Diceros bicornis minor: one gene and its partner. The protein of the gene in region 1 purifies or fractionates together with the protein of each later gene. This does not show direct contact. Links are inferred from orthologs where the notes say so. Each region holds a gene or a part of one and is shown in the gene's direction. Other genes may lie near its edges.

The links.
Region 2: the proteins of PPP4C (region 1) and CCT6A purify together in Homo sapiens (affinity purification with mass spectrometry; 5 studies listed by BioGRID and IntAct, with this or other methods). This does not show direct contact. The link is inferred for Diceros bicornis minor from reciprocal best matches to the Homo sapiens genes PPP4C and CCT6A.

The regions. Positions count from the first base shown.
Region 1 is NC_080765.1:21,873,747-21,883,626, forward strand, and holds the start of PPP4C (serine/threonine-protein phosphatase 4 catalytic subunit), read left to right. Parts: upstream 1-5,389; 5' UTR 5,390-5,478; intron 5,479-5,702; 5' UTR 5,703-5,765; coding exon 5,766-5,863; intron 5,864-9,880. Other genes in the region: ALDOA (fructose-bisphosphate aldolase A), read left to right, coding at 251-391, 589-715, 801-1,012, 1,495-1,549, 1,679-1,839, 2,142-2,225, 2,314-2,488, 2,656-2,855 and 1 more. UniProt on the Homo sapiens protein: Protein phosphatase that is involved in many processes such as microtubule organization at centrosomes, maturation of spliceosomal snRNPs, apoptosis, DNA repair, tumor necrosis factor (TNF)-alpha signaling, activation of c-Jun N-terminal kinase MAPK8, regulation of histone acetylation, DNA damage checkpoint signaling, NF-kappa-B activation and cell migration.
Region 2 is NC_080765.1:20,154,850-20,165,058, reverse strand, and holds the start of CCT6A (T-complex protein 1 subunit zeta), read left to right. Parts: upstream 1-6,220; 5' UTR 6,221-6,286; coding exon 6,287-6,423; intron 6,424-6,868; coding exon 6,869-6,932; intron 6,933-9,009; coding exon 9,010-9,144; intron 9,145-9,737; exon of another isoform or gene 9,738-9,871; intron 9,872-10,010; coding exon 10,011-10,184; intron 10,185-10,209. UniProt on the Homo sapiens protein: Component of the chaperonin-containing T-complex (TRiC), a molecular chaperone complex that assists the folding of actin, tubulin and other proteins upon ATP hydrolysis.

The DNA.
Region 1 (9,880 bases):
CCTTGAGGCATTGGAGCCTGGCCCAGCCCTGGGATCTTGGGTGGATTGGAAGGAACACTCCTATGGCAGTCAGAAGATCTGGGTTCTAATCTCAGATCTGGCCCTGGGGTTTCTGTGTTGGTTGAAGCACAGACCTTCCTTCCCCTTCCCTGGGTACTTTCAGGTGAGAGGGTTGGGCCCTATGCCTTATGCATGACCTCTAAATTCTAAAATACTCCAGTTCGGTTTTGCTTCTAGGCAAAGTTACCCCATGGCAAGGCGCAAGCCAGAAGGGTCCAGCTTCTGCATGACCAGCCTGTCCGTGGCTCTGGCCTATTCCTTTAGCCCAGATGCCAGTACGCAACCCCACTCTCAGCTGGGCAACACCCAGCAACAAACAGAGTTAGGAAAGGTACAGGAGGCAGGCCTAATATAGGGAAGTCGGGTGTAGGGGAGAGCTGGGGACAGGAAGTGCCCCAAGACCTGTGGGTGTGGGGCAGGGGAGGTAAGGAGCTTTTGCCCTGACCTCCAGGCAAGTGGCCCTGCTCACTAGGAGGCCATGGTAAGACCCAGCTAAGCAGTCCTCGCCCATCTGTCTCCTCTGCCCAGGAACTGACCGGCACCATGCCCCACCAATACCCAGCACTGACCCCGGAGCAGAAGAAGGAGCTGTCTGACATCGCTCACCGCATCGTGGCTCCGGGCAAGGGCATCCTGGCCGCAGATGAGTCCACTGGTACGGGCAGGAGACAGTGGGAGGAGGGCCCAAGGTTGGGGGTGACAGGCTGATCCCCTTATTGCCATGTGATGCTGCCCTCCAGGGAGCATTGCCAAGCGGCTGCAGTCCATTGGCACTGAGAACACTGAGGAGAACCGGCGCTTCTACCGCCAGCTGCTGCTGACTGCTGACGACCGCGTGAATCCTTGCATTGGGGGCGTCATCCTCTTCCATGAGACACTCTACCAGAAGGCAGATGATGGGCGTCCCTTCCCCCAAGTTATCAAATCCAAGGGCGGTGTTGTGGGCATCAAGGTGAGGGGCCTGGGCCTCAGGATGTGAGATTTCAGATGGATTGGGGGAAAGAAATCCAGAGTAGTAGGCTAGGGGGTGAACACTGGGCTGGGAGCCTAGAGACTGTGGTGGAGTCTGGCACAGATCACCCCTGAATCATTATAAGAAAAGGTAGAAACTTAAGGACCTGCTTGGCATTGTTAATCCTTCCAATTCTAAGAGTGAGGTATTACTCTCATTGTGCGGATGAAAAACCAGAAGCTCAAGTCAGTAAAGTGTTTTGCTTGCAGAGTTGGGAAGTGATAGGAGGCCAGGCTCTCTGTCAAATAACATCCCTGTGTATCCTGCCTCATAGGATCAGAGACTATAAGTGAAAACATTTGCAAACCATAAGATGCCACCTGAGAGATTGAGTAAAGTTGGGGGCAGAGTGGGACTAGAGAGGAGAAGAGGGTACTAGAGATGATTTCTCCTGTTTTATGTTGTTGTCCTCACCCCAACAGGTAGACAAGGGCGTGGTACCCCTGGCAGGAACAAACGGCGAGACGACCACCCAAGGTGAGAACTGTTTGGCTCCCTGCCTTACCAACCAACCCACCCAGGTCGGTACCCCTTGGGTAACCAGGGTGAGTGGGAGCCACCTGCCCCCTCCTCTGCCATGCTCTGACTCCTCCGTCCCCTCTCCAGGGCTGGATGGGCTGTCTGAGCGCTGTGCCCAGTACAAGAAGGATGGAGCAGACTTTGCCAAGTGGCGCTGTGTGCTGAAGATTGGGGAGCACACTCCCTCATCTCTTGCCATCATGGAAAATGCCAACGTTCTGGCCCGTTATGCCAGCATCTGCCAGCAGGTGGGCCTGCAGGTCCCCAACAGGCCACCTCCCACCTCATTTTGTTCCAGAATGTCAGCTAGCCTGCCACACATCTCCCAGCATCCCTCTCTCCCTCACTTGAGGGCTTTGTAAGCAGAGGGCAGAACAGGGATTGTGTGGATGGATCTGAAGAGAAGGCTCTCGCCCACAGTCTGCTGAGGACTGTGCAGCTATGAGTCTCCGTCATCATGGAGATAAGATCTTGGCTGATGGCTGTAGAGAGCTGTAGGTGGGGCTCCGGGTTAGGAAGCCTCATGGCTACCCTGTCTTTCACCCCACAGAATGGCATCGTGCCCATCGTGGAGCCTGAGATCCTCCCTGATGGGGACCATGACTTGAAGCGCTGTCAGTATGTAACCGAGAAGGTAGGTTGTCTGGCTCCCTGGGCAGTGTGTGGTGGGCTGACCCGTCCCCCGACTCTAACCTACCCACTTTGGTCCTGCCCTGCGCTAGGTGCTGGCTGCTGTTTACAAGGCTCTGAGTGACCACCACATCTACCTGGAAGGCACCTTGCTGAAGCCCAATATGGTAACCCCAGGCCACGCCTGCACCCACAAATATTCTCACGAGGAGATTGCCATGGCAACTGTCACAGCATTGCGCCGCACAGTGCCCCCCGCTGTCACTGGTGAGACCCACACCCTCGTCTTGACCTCTGGGAGGTAGATGAACTGTACCCACAATCCTTGTGCCCACTTGGTCTGATTTCCAGGCCAGCTTCTAGGGGCTCCTACCAGCCAGTCTGCTGGATCTCTGACTACAATCCCTCCCCCCATTTCACCCCTCGCTATACAGGGATCACCTTCCTATCTGGAGGCCAGAGTGAGGAGGAGGCATCCATCAACCTCAACGCCATCAACAAGTGCCCCCTGCTGAAGCCATGGGCCCTGACCTTCTCCTATGGCCGAGCCCTGCAGGCCTCTGCCCTGAAGGCCTGGGGTGGAAAGAAGGAGAACCTAAAGGCTGCCCAGGAGGAATATGTCAAGCGAGCCCTGGTGAGGATGGCGCAGGAGGTGGGCAGGGTGGCCGGGTGGACGGGGTTCTGAGAAGAGACCTTCTTACTCTCGCTCCTTTCTCCTCTTAGGCCAACAGCCTCGCCTGCCAAGGAAAGTACACCCCAAGTGGTCAGGCCGGGGCTGCAGCCAGCGAGTCCCTTTTCATCTCTAACCATGCCTACTAAGTGGAGGTATTCTAAGGCTACCCCCTCAACACTCCAGGCCCGCCCCCTCCCACACTCATTCTTGAACAGGGGGCCTCATCCAGGGCTCTAGGCTACTTTTTCCCATCATTCTTGCCTCCCTGGTGACATTGGTGTGTGGTATTGTCTGTGTATGCTAACTCCATCGCCCTTTCCAGCCCACTGCCAATAAACAACTATTTAAGGGGGAGTCTGCTGTCCATTTCTGTGGTGTCCAGGGCAGGGGAGGGCCAGGGGAGGTGGCAGAGCCCAGAAGAAAGAGCCCTTGTTTTGTGTTCTTCCTTCTTGGGCAGGAAAAAGGTGAAGGGGGTGGGATAGGACCTTCCTATCCCCCTTGTTTTATACTTGCCCAGGGTTTCAAGAGGAGAGCTTGTGAAATTTTCTTCCAGCCACCAACTGCTCCACCCCCTTCTACCAGCAGCATCTGATAAGGCTCACAGTTGGGAAGTGTGTCTGTAACTGCTAGTCATGAGGTTGCAGACTCAGCCTCACTTTTATGCCCAGAACTCACGGGTGCAGAAGGCCCCAGTGAGAAGAACAGCCACTGACAAAAGCCAAGATTTCCTGGGTTTATGTGTTCTATATAAGATAACATAAATGTTCTATATGAGAGGTGCTGTTACCCTCAATTTATCCTTAAGGTTACAGTGCACCGAGACTGCACTGTTTCTTGGTGGAAACAAGATTGTTAATGCATATCTCCTTAATCTACACTGTTGAGCTTGCCCGTCTTCCCATTTTAACAGGAGATAGGATCAGAACTGGCTTCTTAGTCTTTGGGAACTCCTTGAAGAACCTGGAATCCTCTCTAACACCCCCCTCAACAATGCAGATAGACATACGCACAGAACTGTGGAGCTCAGGTTCCAGGTTAACAACTGAGCCTCTGTAGCTGCTGCATTCCATGAAGCCAGAATGGGCCCTGCACTTAGACCCCTATGCCATACTTTGAACCCTTCCCCAATTGCCCAGGCTGGGGTATAGCAGCAACTACACCAGGTCTTTTCAGCTATTAAAAATCCTAGTCATAACCAGGGAATAGTCCTGCCACTTCCCAAATTTCCTGTTATGGGCCCTTTCCTGTCTGAGCTGCCTGCTAGAGAAAGAAAAATCTTGACCTTTCTGATCTGTGGACCCACTGAATCCCTGTAGTGATCTTCGTAGAAGTGACTTATCTAGGACTAGGAGTTCTAGTTCTAGGAGTTTAAGAACTTGGTCCTTTCCTTCTCTCTGCACATTTGCATCTGTTGCCTGCATCCAAAACCAAACCCATTCCCTGTGCCCCTCCAAACAGGCCTCACTTCTGTGCCTAGCCTTACTCCACTTGGTGAAACAAAATCTGAAGTAAAGCAAATAAAAATTGAAGGTCAATAGAAGATAGCAAAAAGCACATTCCAAAAGGGCTCAGACATCATGAAGTTTGCTTCAAGACCAATTGCTTCCCCTCCCTGCAGCAAAGAGACCAGGGAAGCAGAGGACTTCAAACCCCAATTGTGGGAGTTTGGGACTTATTTTATGACAAAGTGAGTTCCAGAAAGAGTAAGTGACGGAGGAGAAGCTGGAGCTGAGAACACAGCTTTCCTGGGTTCAAATTTCAACCTTGCTTCAAACCCAAAATTCTTAGCTATGCGACCATGAACAAGTTAAGATCTTTGAGCCAGTTTCCTCTTCAAAAAAGGAATAAAATTGCAGACTATGGGAAGCAACTGACGGGTGTCCAGGGGACCATTCTGGAATCAGAGAGGTCGTGTTGACTGAGCCATAGGCTTGGTGTGGGGAAGGTGGACTCCCTTCTGCCTCTAACTTCGGAGGTCCTCCATGGCAGGGATTTCTCTGGGACCACTTAAGAGACATGGTTTGGCTCTTTCCAAAACCATGGAAAGAGATTTGGACCGGGATTCCTTCATCCATTGAACAAATACCTATGTATGCCTACTGTGCCAGGCCTTGTTCTAAGCACTGGGGCCGCAAGCGTGAACCAGACAAAGTACCATCCCTCTGAGATTGTAATGGGGGAGGCCAACTAAACCAGGTAAACAAAAACGTGTAACAAAGCTACAAACCGGAGCGCCCGCTCGGCTTCAGTCTCCCTAACCGAGATGGGAGGGGACTGGAGCGTGGTTTCTAGCAGCCCTCACAGCGCCAATCGGCTTAGCCCACAGTCACTTCCGCCCGCACGCTACCGGCGACCGGCTCCTTCGCCTCGGAGCGCTCCCTGGGCTTGAGGGGTGGGGCTCAGGGCGCGGCGTGGGAGGGGTTGAGTATGACGCCACGTCCGGCGCGCGGCGGCACTGGTCCCCTTTGCTTCCGCGGCGGGGCCGGAAGTAGAAGCGGCGGTGGCGGCGGCCCAAAGCGGAGGAAAGGAGCAAGGCAGGAGCTCGAGAGCCGGAGCCGGAGCCGGAGCCGGAGCAGCAGCGGCGGTAATAGTCCGAGACTCCTCTAGGCCACCGTCCCTAGCGCGGGGCCGCGGGGCTCGCGGAGCTAGCCGGGGGGTAGCCAGTGCCATGGGACGCTGGGGGTCCGGGAGGCGCTGTGAGGGGCGGCGGGGGTCGGGGGAGCCGGGCTGGCTCCAGAATTGAGTTGCCCTCCCGTCCCGGCGCCCCCCACGGACACTGATCCGCGGGCTCGTCTTCGCCTTTCCCAGGAGACCCCTGTGCGGTGCGGAGGGGGCGGCGGCCCTGGCTCTAACCCGCGCCGGGGGTGGGCCATGGCGGAGATCAGCGACCTGGACCGGCAGATCGAGCAGCTGCGGCGCTGCGAGCTCATCAAGGAGAGCGAAGTCAAGGCCCTGTGCGCTAAGGCCAGGTGAGCCCGGCGGCCCCAGGGAAGGGAGGCCCGGCCGCTGTCCACGGGTTCCGGCCTGGGGCAAACCCAGCTGAGAACTTTGGGCCTGGCTCATTCTGGAAGCTTTCTCCGAGAGCAGCAGAATAGGGCCACTTTCCTCGAGGAACAACCAGCCTGCTGGGGGAAGAAAGACCTGGATAAGGACACTTAGAAGTATTAGATGATGTGTTTTCAGTGGAGTTAGAGCGTTGTAGAAAGTACGTAGGAAGCTTAGGGAAACAGCCTTATCTGTCGGGGGAACAGAGAAGGCTTCTCGGAGGAACTGAACTTTGGGGGTAGACTTGGAAGAATAATATGATAAAAGGGAATATCAGCAGGAACAAAGTTCAAGGCAGAAAAGCTAAAGACTCTGTGGTTTATAAAATTCTTTTAATTCCAACAACAACTCTTAAAGGTGGGTGGAATTGTCTCCATTTTACAGGTGAGGACTCTCATGTTCAGAGTCAACCAGCAAGTGAGGGACGGAGTCAGAAACTAGTTCTCCGTGTCCTGTCCCCTTTTCAGGCCGTTAAGGCAAGAAGGTGGAGTTGGATCACTCTCATGTTCATTGTGGGAGCCTAAGAAATGGTAGCAGCTAAGCCAGGGTGGAATTAAGCATGCTATGGAGAGAGGCCCAACTCATAGTTCTGTAGGAAGTAGGATGATGTCGTGGTTACGAGCCCAGGCTTTGGAATGTGATGGCTCTAGGTTGGAATCTGAGCTCTGTCAGTTATTAGCTGTGTTGGTGATCTTGAGGTCTCTGACACTCAGTTTCTTCATCTGTAAAGTGGGAATAGTAGCACTTAATAAGATGGTTGTGAAAGTCAGTAAGTTGGTGCTTGGGATTAGCAGAGAGCTTTGGTACAATGTGAGTGCTCGGCAGTCTTTAGGTGGTGGTGTTATTACTGCATGGAAAGAGGGCAATGCTGATATGAACTGAAGTCATCAGGGAAGACTTTTAAGAGAAGGTGGCCTTGAAAAATGAAAATAATTTGGGTAGCTGATGGGAGCAGGGCCAGTGAGGAGGGGCATTCCAGGCAGAGTGACAGTAAGAGTGGAGGCCCTGAGATGTGTGGGCACCAATGAGGAGACCAGTTACCTGCCTCCTTGGTGCTACTGCTTGACTGTGGCTTCCCCCAAGATGGGGAATTGTGGGAAAAGAGCCAGCAGGCTTACCCTGCATTTGTTGAACAACAGGCCCACTATTAGCCTGGCTTTGTACTGGCAAAGAACTTACGGTCGTTTCCTCCCCACAGCAATCTTGGGAGGTTGGGATTATTTACTCCATTTTACAGAACAGGAAGCCATGATTCCTACAGGCCTAGTGGCTTGACTAAGATCACCCAGAGAGAAAGTGGCAGGGCTGGGTTCTGGGCCTGTGGCTGTCAGAGGCTGCATGGGTTTGGTGAACAGGCAAGGCCCCTTTTTGAATGCTTGTCTGTGGCTCTTCTGTGTTTTGCCAGCCCAAGAAAACTTCCCTGACCAGACCCTAAGATGTTTTTAGTCATCCCTGATTACTCAGTCTTGATTGGCATTTTTAGGAACTTAAATCAGTTGCTGTCTGGCACTGTTCTGCCTAGCACTATTCTTTTTCCCCGTAAGTCTTATCTGCCCGCAGGCCTGGCTCAGTTTGGTGGTGGTGATAGCTAATGCTTAAATAGCACTGTGGAGATTTCAGAAAAACAGAGAGGTTATGTGTTCAGGCTTTGTTGCTCTTTGCACAGCCCTATGGAGTAGGCAGCGCAGGGTGAGGATTTCACAGAAGAGGAAACTGAGCCTCAGAGAAGATAATGTTTTGCCTGTAGTCTCACAGCTGGTTGGAGGGGAGGTTGGTTTTGGATCCAGGTCTTGCGCTATACTCCATGCTCATTGACAGCCAGGCAGAGACATTTAGACTGTGTGAGAGGCGGCAGGGAGCTGTAGAGGACTGAGGGCTAGGCGGGTCTTGCCCAGTTGAAGCTGAGATGGAGCCAGGAGGCACTAGGCTGGGGCCTGAGTTGGCCACCATTATCGCAGGCCCAGTCTGAAGGGGGGCCAACTCTAGCACCTGGCCATGGCCTTCTGGGGGACCCACCAGGAGTCCAGGCCAAGGCTGGTAGTGTCAGAGCTTCAGCTTGCTCAGAGGGTACGTAGACTCAAATCCTTGGAACTAGAGAGGCCTGAAGTGTGTGAGTTGAACTTGCTCCTGTTAAAGACGTCAGCATATGAGACGTGCAGAGGGTTTTGAATCAGGTGGCCTCCAGTATGAGTCCCGGCTTCGTCAGCTATAAACAATATGAGCCTGATCAAGTCACTTGATCTCTCCAAGTCTTTGAAATCATTATGGAGCTCAGATGAGATTCTGCATATCCAGGAACAGGGCCTGGCTCTTTTGTAGGCACTTCCTAAAGGTAATGCTCCTCGCGGAAGTCAAGGGGAGCAGGGGCGAGCCCTGAGAGGGCTGGTGATATGCTGCAAGGGACAGAGCTGGGGTCGGAGGCTGGGCCTTGTTCCCAGACCGCGCTGGGGCCCTACTGGCACTGAGGTGGGGTTTTGACTCACATCTTGGGAAAGGGCTGGCATAAATTCTCAGGAAATTGGGCTCCTGGGGTCTAATTCTGCCATTCTCTAGCTTTGTGACCTTGATCCTTTCCCTTTTTTCTCTAAGCCTGTTTCTTTTTTTTTTTCCTAGAGATTATTATTTTTTTTTTGGTGAGGAATATTGGCCCTAACATCTGTTGCCAATCTTCGTCTTTTTGCTTGAGGAAGATTGTCCCTGAGCTAACGTCTGTGTCAGTCTTCCTCTCTTTTGTATGTGGGATGCCGCCACAGCATGATCTAAGCCTGTTTCTTTATCTGTCAGATGAGGATGAAAAGAACCTCCCGTAGCCGGTTGGAAAGGTCGTTATAAGCAGTTGATGTGGGAGGATGTTCACCACAAGATGCAGGACAGGTGGGGGGGCCTGGTTGCTATATGGCCCCTTGGACCACCACCAGTGCCTCCCACCGTTCCGGGAAAGCCACGGCACACCTCCCTCGAGCCGCCTTTGTTATCCAGAGCGCCCTGAGGGTCGTCCAGGGAGCTCCGCATCCAGCGGGAGGAGACTGGCAGAAAGAGTGAGGGCTGAGCCGGTGCCTGGGGCCCTCCCACGTCAGGATAGCTGGGGAAGAGCCGGGCCCTGCAGCCAGGCTGCCTTGGTTCAGGTCCCGTCTATACAAGAGTTTCTTCATCTGAGCAGTGGGCATCGTCACAGTGCCTGCCTTTGAGGGTGATGATTGCATGCATCATCATCTGTGCAAAGCTCTTACCACAGTCCTGGCGCCTGATGTGAACTGGAATGTTCACTCCTGCCATCATCAAGGACAAAATCTGGAAATAGGGTGCTACTGAAATTGGGTGTCTAACTGAAAAAGTGGTTGTATGTCATGCTCACTCCAGTAGAAGTAGACTGCACTGCAAAAAGAAATGAAGGAACAAACTCCTCTCTTCCTCTAAATAAAGCATGAAAAAGTAGCAACAGCGTATCACTTGGAAGGGGAGCACATCTGATCACAGTGTATCACATCTGGCGAGTAGCCTGCCCAGGGCACCCCCTGTGCCTTTGGGCATTCTGGGAGAAGGCCCCCGTGATGAGTAGAGAGGGGCTGCAGAGCTCAGCCAGGAACACAGTCTCAGAGCGCTTGAGGCTGAGGGAGGAGCGTGAGCAGAGGGCTCTGTGGAGAGGAGGAGGGGGTCTGTTTTGTGAGACTGAGTGCTGGCCGTGTGAAAGGGAGCAGCAGGGAGGGGCAAGGCCAGGAAAGTCACGTCCTGCTTGGAAGGGCTTTGAATGCTGAAGCAAGAGCCTGAGCTTTGGCCTGTTGGCAGCGGGGAGCCATGGAAGGGTGTTGAGCGGTGGGGGCTGTGGTCAGCCTATCCTGGGGGAATTGCACACCTCACTCCTGCCCCCTAGAGGTTCAAGGACCACCTCATATCCTCCCCTCCCCCCCCCAAAAAAGGTCAGGAATTGGGCTGGGCTGGCC
Region 2 (10,209 bases), about 1.7 Mb from region 1:
ATTTGTTGTGCTATATGCCCAAAATATAATCTAGGAAAACCATTTAATGGGACACAAGGCCACTTTCACCTTCCTAAGGGACCCTTTGAGGTATGGCAATTGGACTTTGTTCAAATGCGACCATCTCAAGGATATAAATATATCTTGTAATGATCTGTATCTCACATTGGGTTGAGGCCTTTCCTTACAGAAGAGCAACAGCTTTAGGTAAATTATTATTGGAAAGGATAATTCCTGTTTGAGGAATTCCTACCAAGTTACACAGTGACTGGAGAACTCATTTCACTGGACAAATAGTTAAATCTATTTGGCCATATTTTAACTAATGGCACAATCAAAGCTCAATTGGCAAAGCGTTCAGAAGCATTTAATCTCTCACCACCAAAATCCCTCGTGCTAGTGCTCCTCAATCTTAGATCTATACCCTTTGGTAAACATCAGCTGACCCCTTTCGAGATATTAGCTGGATAGCCTATGCAATTAGACAAAGGAATGTATGGACCAACTTTGCTTAAAGGCGATATCTTACATTATTGTCAAGGTCTAATTGAGACACTTAAAGATACGAGAGGTTGGTAGCTGATTCTTTTCACAGTGAGCTCCCAGGAGATGAAGACCTTAAGGATCACGGACTTCAATCTGGAGATTTTGTCCATTGGAAAAGACTAGATAAAAGACTCTTTGCCACCTTATTGGAAAGGACCATACCAGGTACTTTTAACCAATTCATATGCTGCCGAATCCCAAGTCATAGACTCAATCAAAAAAGCCTTCTCCACCTGAGTGGGTTTCAGTTCCTATTTCTGATACCTGACTTCAACTGACCAATGAAAATATCTCCAAACCAGGAGAAGAAGATGGCATCTGTTGTAGACAGCTGTCCCAAAACTCTGGACTAGGCCTATATTCCCAACCTTATATCTCCTCATTTAAACCTTTGTAATGCTTAAGCCATATACCCATTTTATAATTGTTCCATTTAAGGTTTTCAGAATACTACCATACTTAAAGAAAGTGATTGATTTAGAACAGACTGGTCTCGAAGGCCAGGCATTTATCAGGTGGCTCCCAATGGAACTCAGTGGTTATGTTGAACAAACCTCTGGCATAGCCTCTGCCCAGATGGCTAAAACACTGCACCCTCAGCTTCCCTTTGATGCAGGCAAGGATTCACCCTGAGCTAACATCTGTTGCCAATGTTCCTCTCTTTAAGGCCAGATGGGCTCGTTCAGTGTTCCACTGGCATGGCCATCTAGCGGCTATATTTGTTCCTTCCTTGGGGTAAAAGATGTTATATCACATATGGAAGCTCTGACTAAATTTACTCAACAAACCATTAGCAATAGTCAAGCAGGAACAGACTTATTAAATACTAAAATGTCTTTAATGAGAAAGGCTGTCCTTCAAAATAAAATGGCCTTAGACATTTCAACTGCATCCCAAGGTGGTACATGTACAATCATTCAAACTGAATGCTGTGTTTTTTATACCTGATGAATCTTCCAATGGGTCATCTCTGCTAAAGCACATGAAGAAAAAAATAGGTGAATGCCTTAAGCGATTCTACATCCAGTCTTGCTTTGTTTGGTTGGTCCTCTTCAGGTATTGGTTCCCTTTTTTGATCCAGATTGCAATTCCTATTTCTATTACTCATTGGAATTCTTGTATTAGTCATAATACTCTAATTACTATTTTCTTTTTTTTTTTTGTGAGGAAGATCAGCCCTGAGCTAACATCCATGCTAATCCTCCTCTTTTTTGCTGAGGAAGATGGGCTCTGAGCCAACATCTATTGCCAATCCTCCTCCTTTTTTCCCCAAAGCCCCAGTAGATAGTTGTATGTCATAGGTGCACATCCTTCTAGTTGCTGTATGTGGGCCACGGCCTCAGCATGGCCGGAGAAGCGGTGCATCGGTGCATGCCCGGGATCCGAACCCAGGCCGCCAGCATCGGAGTGCAAGCACTTAACCGATAAGCCACAGGACTGGCCCTCTAATTACTATTTTCTTTACTCAGTGTTGTAAGACTGGCATGCAGGCTAGAGTAATGACTGCTGAGTGACTTGAGATGACTGAGGGATCTTACAACCCTGGGTGAATTTTCTTTTCTGATAAAGACTATGCCAAAGAACTCATTTCAAAACTAATCTTTTCAAATATTGAATTGTCATCATTGTTACTGTACCTGTTCTATAATTATAAACAATGTGAGCACAAGGAGTCAGGTAAAAGCACATGTACAATGCTTGTGCAATAAACTAAAATTAATTGAAAAATTATATAACCTATGAAATGTTTTCTCTGTTAATATATACATCTATGCTTGTCTCACTATTTTCCCCTAACGTGGATAACTGGGCAAATAAATGAGATGAAAGCCTAGCATCAAAGGACATGATGGATCCAGGGCAGGCAGCAACCACACTGGCACTGAGGGACAATATTTTGATCATCAATGCTTTCTATCAAGATTATAGATCAAAAGGGGGAAAATGATAAATAAATGAAAAGCAACAGGATATATTGGAGTATATGAGGAAGCCACTTGGTGTAAAACTAATTCGGCCTGACCTCGTTTTTCCAAAAAGGCCTGACAAGGCCTGTTGAGCATGCACTGTACATCTGCTTTAAACATTTACTATGTCCCAAAGACAAGAATGATGCCCTTAAAAATAAGGATGTAGGCCGGCCCCGTGGCATAGCAGTTAAGTGCTCGCACTCCGCTGCTGGTGACCCAGGTTCGGATCCCCGGCGTGCACCAATGCACCGCTTGTCAGGCCGTGCTGTGGTGGCATCCCATATAAAGTGGAGGAAGATGGGCACAGATGTTAACCCAGGGCCAGTCTTCCTCAGCAAAAAGAGGAGGACTGGCATGGATGTTAGCTCAGGGTTGATCTTCCTCACAAAAAAAAAAAAAAAAAGATAAGGATATAACTTCTCCCCATACCAGCTTTAAGGATAAGCATCTCTTCCTAGAAACTAAGGATTAATCACTGACCTGCTATGCTCACCTTGTGACCACTGATCTGCTGACCACTGCACTGCTGTGCCAGCTAAGCATCTCGTGACAGTAGTAAAAGAGATATTCCTGTCATATGTGATGTATGCTCTCTGTTCCAAGACAGTATATAACCCTCTGCACACCCCACTTCTTTGGTTCCCTTCCTTCCTTGGGAAGGAAGGCCCCAGGCTATAGTTCTCAGACCTGGCTCATAATAAACTCACCCCAATTTTGATTTATAGATTGATTACAGATTATTTGCATTGACAAAAGCAAAAAGTGTATTTGGGGTCTAAAGAATTGCAACTTAGGGAGCACACATTCAGGAAGAAACCCAAATAGTGTCCCACTTAGGTATAAGAGTCAGGGGCTTTTAAAGGCAAAGAAGGAAGGTTTTATTACAAAGAATTTTAATCGGAGTTGGAGGCAGAGAGCTAGTCTTGGCTAAACATTGACTGACTATTGATTTTCTCTTCAGAAAGTCCACAATCTTCAGTCTTTGAGATCAGAATGTCCGTTCTCCTGCTGACTTCTGAAACAATTATCTGTAAAATAATTGCCATTTTTGCCTAGTCCAAAGGATTGGCCCTGTTCAAGGTTCAAACAGCAAGGCAGTTTCTCTAGAAAGGCAGCTTGCACTTCATTTTAAAATGGCTCCACTATAGTCAATTTTGACAGTGAAGAGAGGCAATAGCTATCAAGTAAATGTGAAAACATTCAGGGAATATGTGAATAGGGGGACTGAGGCAAAGGGAGGAGCCAATGGTGAAATCTAGGTTTTTGGCTCTCCCCTAATACAACATAGTACGACCTGGACTTGGCCATTTAACCTCTCTTTGTGTTGATTTAATCATCTGTGAAGCTGGTTTAATAATACCTGACCTATCAACTTCAAAGCATTCGTATTAGGATCAAATGAGACAATGTTTGTAAAGGTGGTAAGAAAATTATATAGAGTTAACTACATTATATGAATGCAGTAGTAGCAATTGACTTAACACCTTCCATGTCTGGCAGAATACAAAGCATGTTACACATGCAATATCATTTAATTTTCTCTAGGACGTCACTTACCCCTACTTTATAGATTATAAAATTGACTCAAAAAAGTTAAGTAACATCCAAGGTGACATACTGGTAAACATCGAAAAATTAGAATTCAAACTCAAATTTTTTGACTCTAGGATTCTTTCTAATACACCACTCTGCCTCATTACAGTTCTTTCCTTAAAATTTTCTTCTATATTGAAATCCCTGCTGAATCAAATGGCTAAGCACCTGCTGCCACCTCAATTTCTTCAACCATGGACTGAAATGGATGTGCTCCCACAATGTGACTTTTTGTTTGAAATTCTCCAAAAGGCATATTAAAGTTCTTCCATTCTATACATACATTAGCATATAGGCAACACTCCCTTGCTATTCTATTTTGCATCAAATAATGAAAATTATTAATTTGCTTGAAAGTGTGATAACCAAGACCAATAGAATGATATCTGTAAACAGATTGCCTCTAGAGGGATCATGCGGATCCTTCTGTTTTGCTGAGACTTTGTCTAAGGCCTTGCATGATATTACTGCAGATGAATAATTTAAAATTCTGATACTTGTTCACTGTGGATGTTTTGCATCAATTTTTTTAAAATATTCCATTAAAGTATTATTTATCTCAATTACTGAGTTTTTGGTGTGCCCTTCATATCGCACCTCAGGAATGTGGAAGTCTCCAATCCCCCTTTCACTACCTGCAAGCAGATGCCTGAAATTCCACAATCTTCATCTCCATTCATGTCTCCCCACACATCCAACAGTAGTTAAATCTGCATGCACACCAAGTACCATCTGCAGAACTAATCACTAGTCTCCTTCTACCGTTTAATGCTATTACTCAAACATATATAGATGCTTTCATCATTCTCAAACATACATATTTATAGTAACAAATATACTTATGATAATTTTATAATTTTCCCCAGGATATTCATTGCAGCCTGAATAGCAGAAGACTGGGAACAACTTAAATGTCAACCAGTAGGTGACTGGCTAATCATGCCATTCTTACAAAAAATATCATGCAGCTGTTAATAGGAATGAGCAATCCTTATTTGCACTGATATGGTACATTCTCCAAGATACTTTAAGTATAATACACCCAACAGTGTGTATCATAAATTTCCACTTTGTGTGGGGGAAAATGCTTATATTTATTTATAAATTCAGAAAGCATCTGGGGAGTTCAGAGTATCTAAACGTAACTGTGCTTGTATGGAGGAAGTTGAACTAGAAGAGCAAGGAAGAGTTACTTTTCACCATACGCCCTTTGGCACCTTTTGAATTCTGAACAATTTTCATTATTAAAATAAAATACAAAAGATTACTAAATACCTGGTATTTGAAGGGGACTAAACACTACAGAACAATTGTGGACATCTTTCAGAATTTTTTTGTCTTAAAAAGGAGTCATCTCACAGGCCGGACACCACTGCTCAATCAAGTTTGAGTTTTCAAACCTGCCTTGAGGGTCTCAGACCTCAACAGTCTTCCTGAGCCCAAAGGGTGGACTGACTCGTGCTTCTCTCCAGCTGCCATGGCACCAATCCCGTAGCTTTCTAAAGGCATCCAGCACTTTCTACATTGTATTCTATCTCTTCATCTTCCCCAGGCTTAAAACACCTAGGACCCCGGGCGAGGGTCCTTATCAGATTCACTTCTGTATCCCCGCAGCACCTAGAACGTCGTCGAGCATGCAGTATACAGTCAAGAAAACTCTGGTGAAAGGAACAAAAGAAGCAAGGAGCGGAAACACGGCAAACCGCTCGAGTCGGGGAGGGAGGAGCTCACTCTACTCCGTGCGGCCAGAGACGCCCAGGAAACGGCGCTCATTCCCCCGTCACGCCCAGACGCGCGCAGCCGACGGGCCCTGCCTAGCGCTGAGCGGCCTGCGCGCCGCGCGCCGCCTACGTCCTCACGCCCCAGGTGCGGAGAGCAGGGCCCCGGCCCACTGAGGCACCAGGACCCGCTGAGCTCTTATTGCCGAGGAACAGGCTCCTCCCCTGCGCAATGGCGCCGTAGCCACGGCGCGAGGGGCGGGGCCGCAGGCGGCCGCGACCCAATGAGCTGCGCCGTCCGACCTGCGGGCCAATGGCGGCGGCGCGCGCGCACGCTGGGGGCGGGCCAGGCGTGCCCGACTTTTCCAGAAGACTCCGGATAGCGCCTCCCGGCCACGCTGAGCCGGCTTTGGGCGTTTCTGATTTCGGTTCTCTTACTCTTCCTCTGCTGGGTCAGCCATGGCGGCCGTGAAGACCCTGAACCCCAAGGCCGAGGTTGCCCGAGCCCAGGCGGCGTTGGCGGTGAACATCAGCGCGGCCCGGGGACTGCAGGACGTGCTCAGAACCAACTTGGGGCCTAAGGGCACCATGAAGATGTAAGGCGGGGCTGGCGGGAGGGCTGGGGCGCGCCGCGCACCTCGCGCCGCCGCGGGCCTGGCGCCGGGGACCGCGGCCTCGAGCCTGCCGCTCCCGGGACTCCGCGCTCGCCCTGCGGCCCTTACTCCTCGTGTTCTCCGGGTAGGACCTATTTCCTGCCCGGGCTGTTTCCTCTTGTAGTGGGTGCCGCCTCCGCGGAGAACAAAGCTGCCCGCGTGCGCTGCGCTCCCCCTTGCGCTGAGACTTAGCGACCCTGAGGACTCAGCACACTGTCTCTCTGAAGGGTGGGGGTGGGCGCTGCACCGTTCCTGTTACCGGGCGGAGAGAACCCACCCCACCTGCCCAGGCTCTCTGGGGTCTGGGTAAAGCTCGATTTTTATAGGACTCTTAATTTGATCTCTATTGAAAAAGTCATTCTGTGATTCATTTCTGCCCGTTGCACAGGCTTGTTTCTGGTGCTGGAGACATCAAGCTTACTAAAGATGGCAACGTGCTGCTTCATGAAATGGTGAGAAGCTGCTGTGCTAAGTCAGAAATGCCTCGGTTTTCCGTAGCACGTTTGATTTGTCGGAAGATTTTTAATGTTCATTCTCAAGGTAGCAGAAAATCATATCAGCTCTCAACAGCTAGTCCTTCAGACGATGGAGGGAGTAGAAAAGGAATGTAATCAGTAATAGTATCAGTGATAATACAGTGAGGAACCCTGGAGTCTGATAGACTTATTTTTGAATCCCTACTCTTGCCATTTAAGGGTTTGGTTAAAGGATTGTAATGATTAAAATCAATTCTAATAAAATTTGAAAAGCAGAAAAAGCTAACATCATCAAGTGGGCACTTTTGAAACAGCAGTACTCTATTACATCTCATCACTCCACCTCCATCTGAAAGGGAGATAAAACTCTGCCATTTTTCAAAGTCCGAGTGACCAAGAACATGAAATTATTGAGAGGAGCAATCATTTTATTCGTCCCTGAGTTCCTAAAACCTAGCAGTTCAAATTCAAGAAAAGGAAATGACTTGCTTGTGGTTTGAGTTCAATATAAAATTTAGGATTTTGGTAGTAGTGTACCCTGCATGCCTTCAACATCCAGACATTTGTAAGTATCTTCAGAAGGACTAGATAACCTAGTCCTTTTCTATTTGTTTTTAGTGGGCTAAGTGGTGGACTGTGCTAGCAGACAACAGTTGGAGTCATAGTTTAAATTTGATGTCAGAAAAGCCATATTGGGCCGGCCCGGTGGCTTAGCGGTTAAGTGCGCACGTTCTGCTGCTGGCAGCCCGGGTTCGGAGCTCGGGCGCGCACCGACGCACCGCTTCTCGGGCCATGCTGAGGCCGCGTCCCACATACAGCAACTACAAGGATGTGCAGCTATGACATACAAGCATCTACTGGGGCTTTGGGGGGGAAAAATAAATAAATAAAATCTTTGAAAAAAAAAAAAAAAGGAAAGCCATATCTATGTGATTTTTTTTGTTTTGCTTAATTTTTTATTGTGAAATAACACATAAATACAGAGAAGCACATTAAAAATTTATAGTTTAACAAAAAATTATACAGCAAAGACAGTGAGAAGTAATACAGTATCACTTATGTAGTAGTCGTGCCAAAAGTGGTTATCATCAGCAACTTTAGATAATGAGATAGTCTGTAAGATCACTGGCCTAGATTATTAAAACTGTCAATGTCCCCAAAGACATGAAAGGCTGGGGAACTGTTCTAGATTAAAGCAAAATAAGGAGACACCCAAAAGCAGGGTAGGAGCCTTGATTGGATTCTTTGTAATTAAGAATCGGTGGGTGACATAGGCGACATGAATATCCTGTTCTTCTAAAACCCTTCCACACAGTGATTTAGTATCCACTGATGATGTTTGCTGAGAGGGCTATGTTTTTGGGGGGGGAGGTGTCAATGCCAAGTAATACTGGAGGCTGTTGGGCTTTCATTTTAGAAGGTACCTGGTTTATTCTCACAAGAGCTCTAGATTTGTCATAAAGAGGCATGCATGTATTTGAAATTATTTGTTACTATTGCTTGTTAGCTCCATCACCTTGAGTAAACCTTAACTGAGCCTCAGATTTCCTCATCAGTAAAGTGGAGATAGTCTGAGAAGTAAGTTTATATATGAAAATGTTTTGGTCCTCATAAACTGATATGCAAAATAGCTAACGCTGAGCTTTTAGACAGTTCTTGGGTTTTTTTTTTTTTTTGTGAGGAAGGTCAGCCTTGAGCTAACATTCATGCCAAGTCTCCTCTTCTTGCTGAGGAACTGGCCCTGGGCAAACATCTGTGCCCGTCTTCCTCCACTTTATATGGGATGCCACCACAGCATGGCCTGGCAGGCGGTGCATAGGTGCACGCTTGGGATCCGAACCCCGGCCCGCCAGCAGCAGAGCGTCAGCACTTATCTGGTACACCACAGGGCTGGCCCCATAATGCTGAGTTTTTAAAAGTAATATGTAGCTGAACACTTGGGCAGTTTGTACAAATGGATAGCACTTAAGGAGGCCCTTCACACATTTTAAGGTATATTTGGACTGTTTCATTTTAAGTTGTTTAAGTAATTTTTTTCTTTTTCTACTTGCAGCAAATTCAACATCCAACAGCCTCCTTAATAGCTAAAGTAGCAACAGCGCAGGATGACATAACTGGTGATGGTACCACTTCCAATGTCCTAATCATTGGAGAGCTGCTGAAGCAGGCGGATCTCTACATTTCTGAAGTATACATGATTCTCATTTTTCTGTGATGTTTATTGTGTACAGGAAATAATATGAGTTTTATTTATGCAAATTGATGTGTTAATAGTAACTGAGGCCGTACAGTAGAATGTAACGAACAGGAAGGATTAAATATGGAAATCAGAGTCTTTATCCTGGTCTGACACAAATTTATTGTGATCATGGACAAGTTAAGGAACCTTCCTTGGCCTGAAAGGTTTTTTTATCAAGTTGCATGGCATATATGGTTTATATCTATGTGTAACGTAGGTTAATAATTGAGGTCTAGACATGAGATATTGAAGACTAGTCATGTTTATAAGAAAAAAATCAACCAAAAACTTAAATAAGAATTCCACAACTTTTTTAGCCCTGAGTAATTCCAAGGTTAAAGCTAACCTCCGTGAGTACTAATCCAATGTCAGGAAGAATTTCCTGGGAGGAGAGAGAAAGCAGACTCTTAGTCTCCCTGTTTATTTTTTATTAGTAAATGACGTAAATTAATTTCAGATTAGCTATAGAAAGGATATAATAGTCCTATGGACTGCAAGTTGTTATGACCTAGTCGTGACTTTCAGGCATTATTCCCTGTGGTTTGCACAGTGAACACCCAAGTGTGCTTTATAGTTCCCTTGGTTTTGATTCTGTGCTAGAGCAATGTCTGTTCTTTTCCTCTGCATTGAAAGGATTATTTATCCTTTTAAATGTATTCAGAAAGTCAGCACATTATATCAACTTAATTGTATTAAAGGGTATGAATGATCCAGAATAACCCTTCAAAAAGTTAGTTTTCCATCAATTACATAGTTGAATCTAATTGAAGAACTCCAGTGTTAGTGGTGATTTTGTAATTGTGTATTTATTATAGGGTCTTCATCCCAGAATAATAACAGAAGGATTTGAAGCTGCAAAGGAAAAGGCACTTCAGTTTTTGGAACAAGTCAAAGTAACCAAAGAGATGGACAGGGAAACACTTATAGATGTTGCCAGAACATCTCTACGTACCAAAGTTCACGCTGAACTTGCTGATGTCTTAACAGAGGTATGTGTTAAATTTGGAACATAGC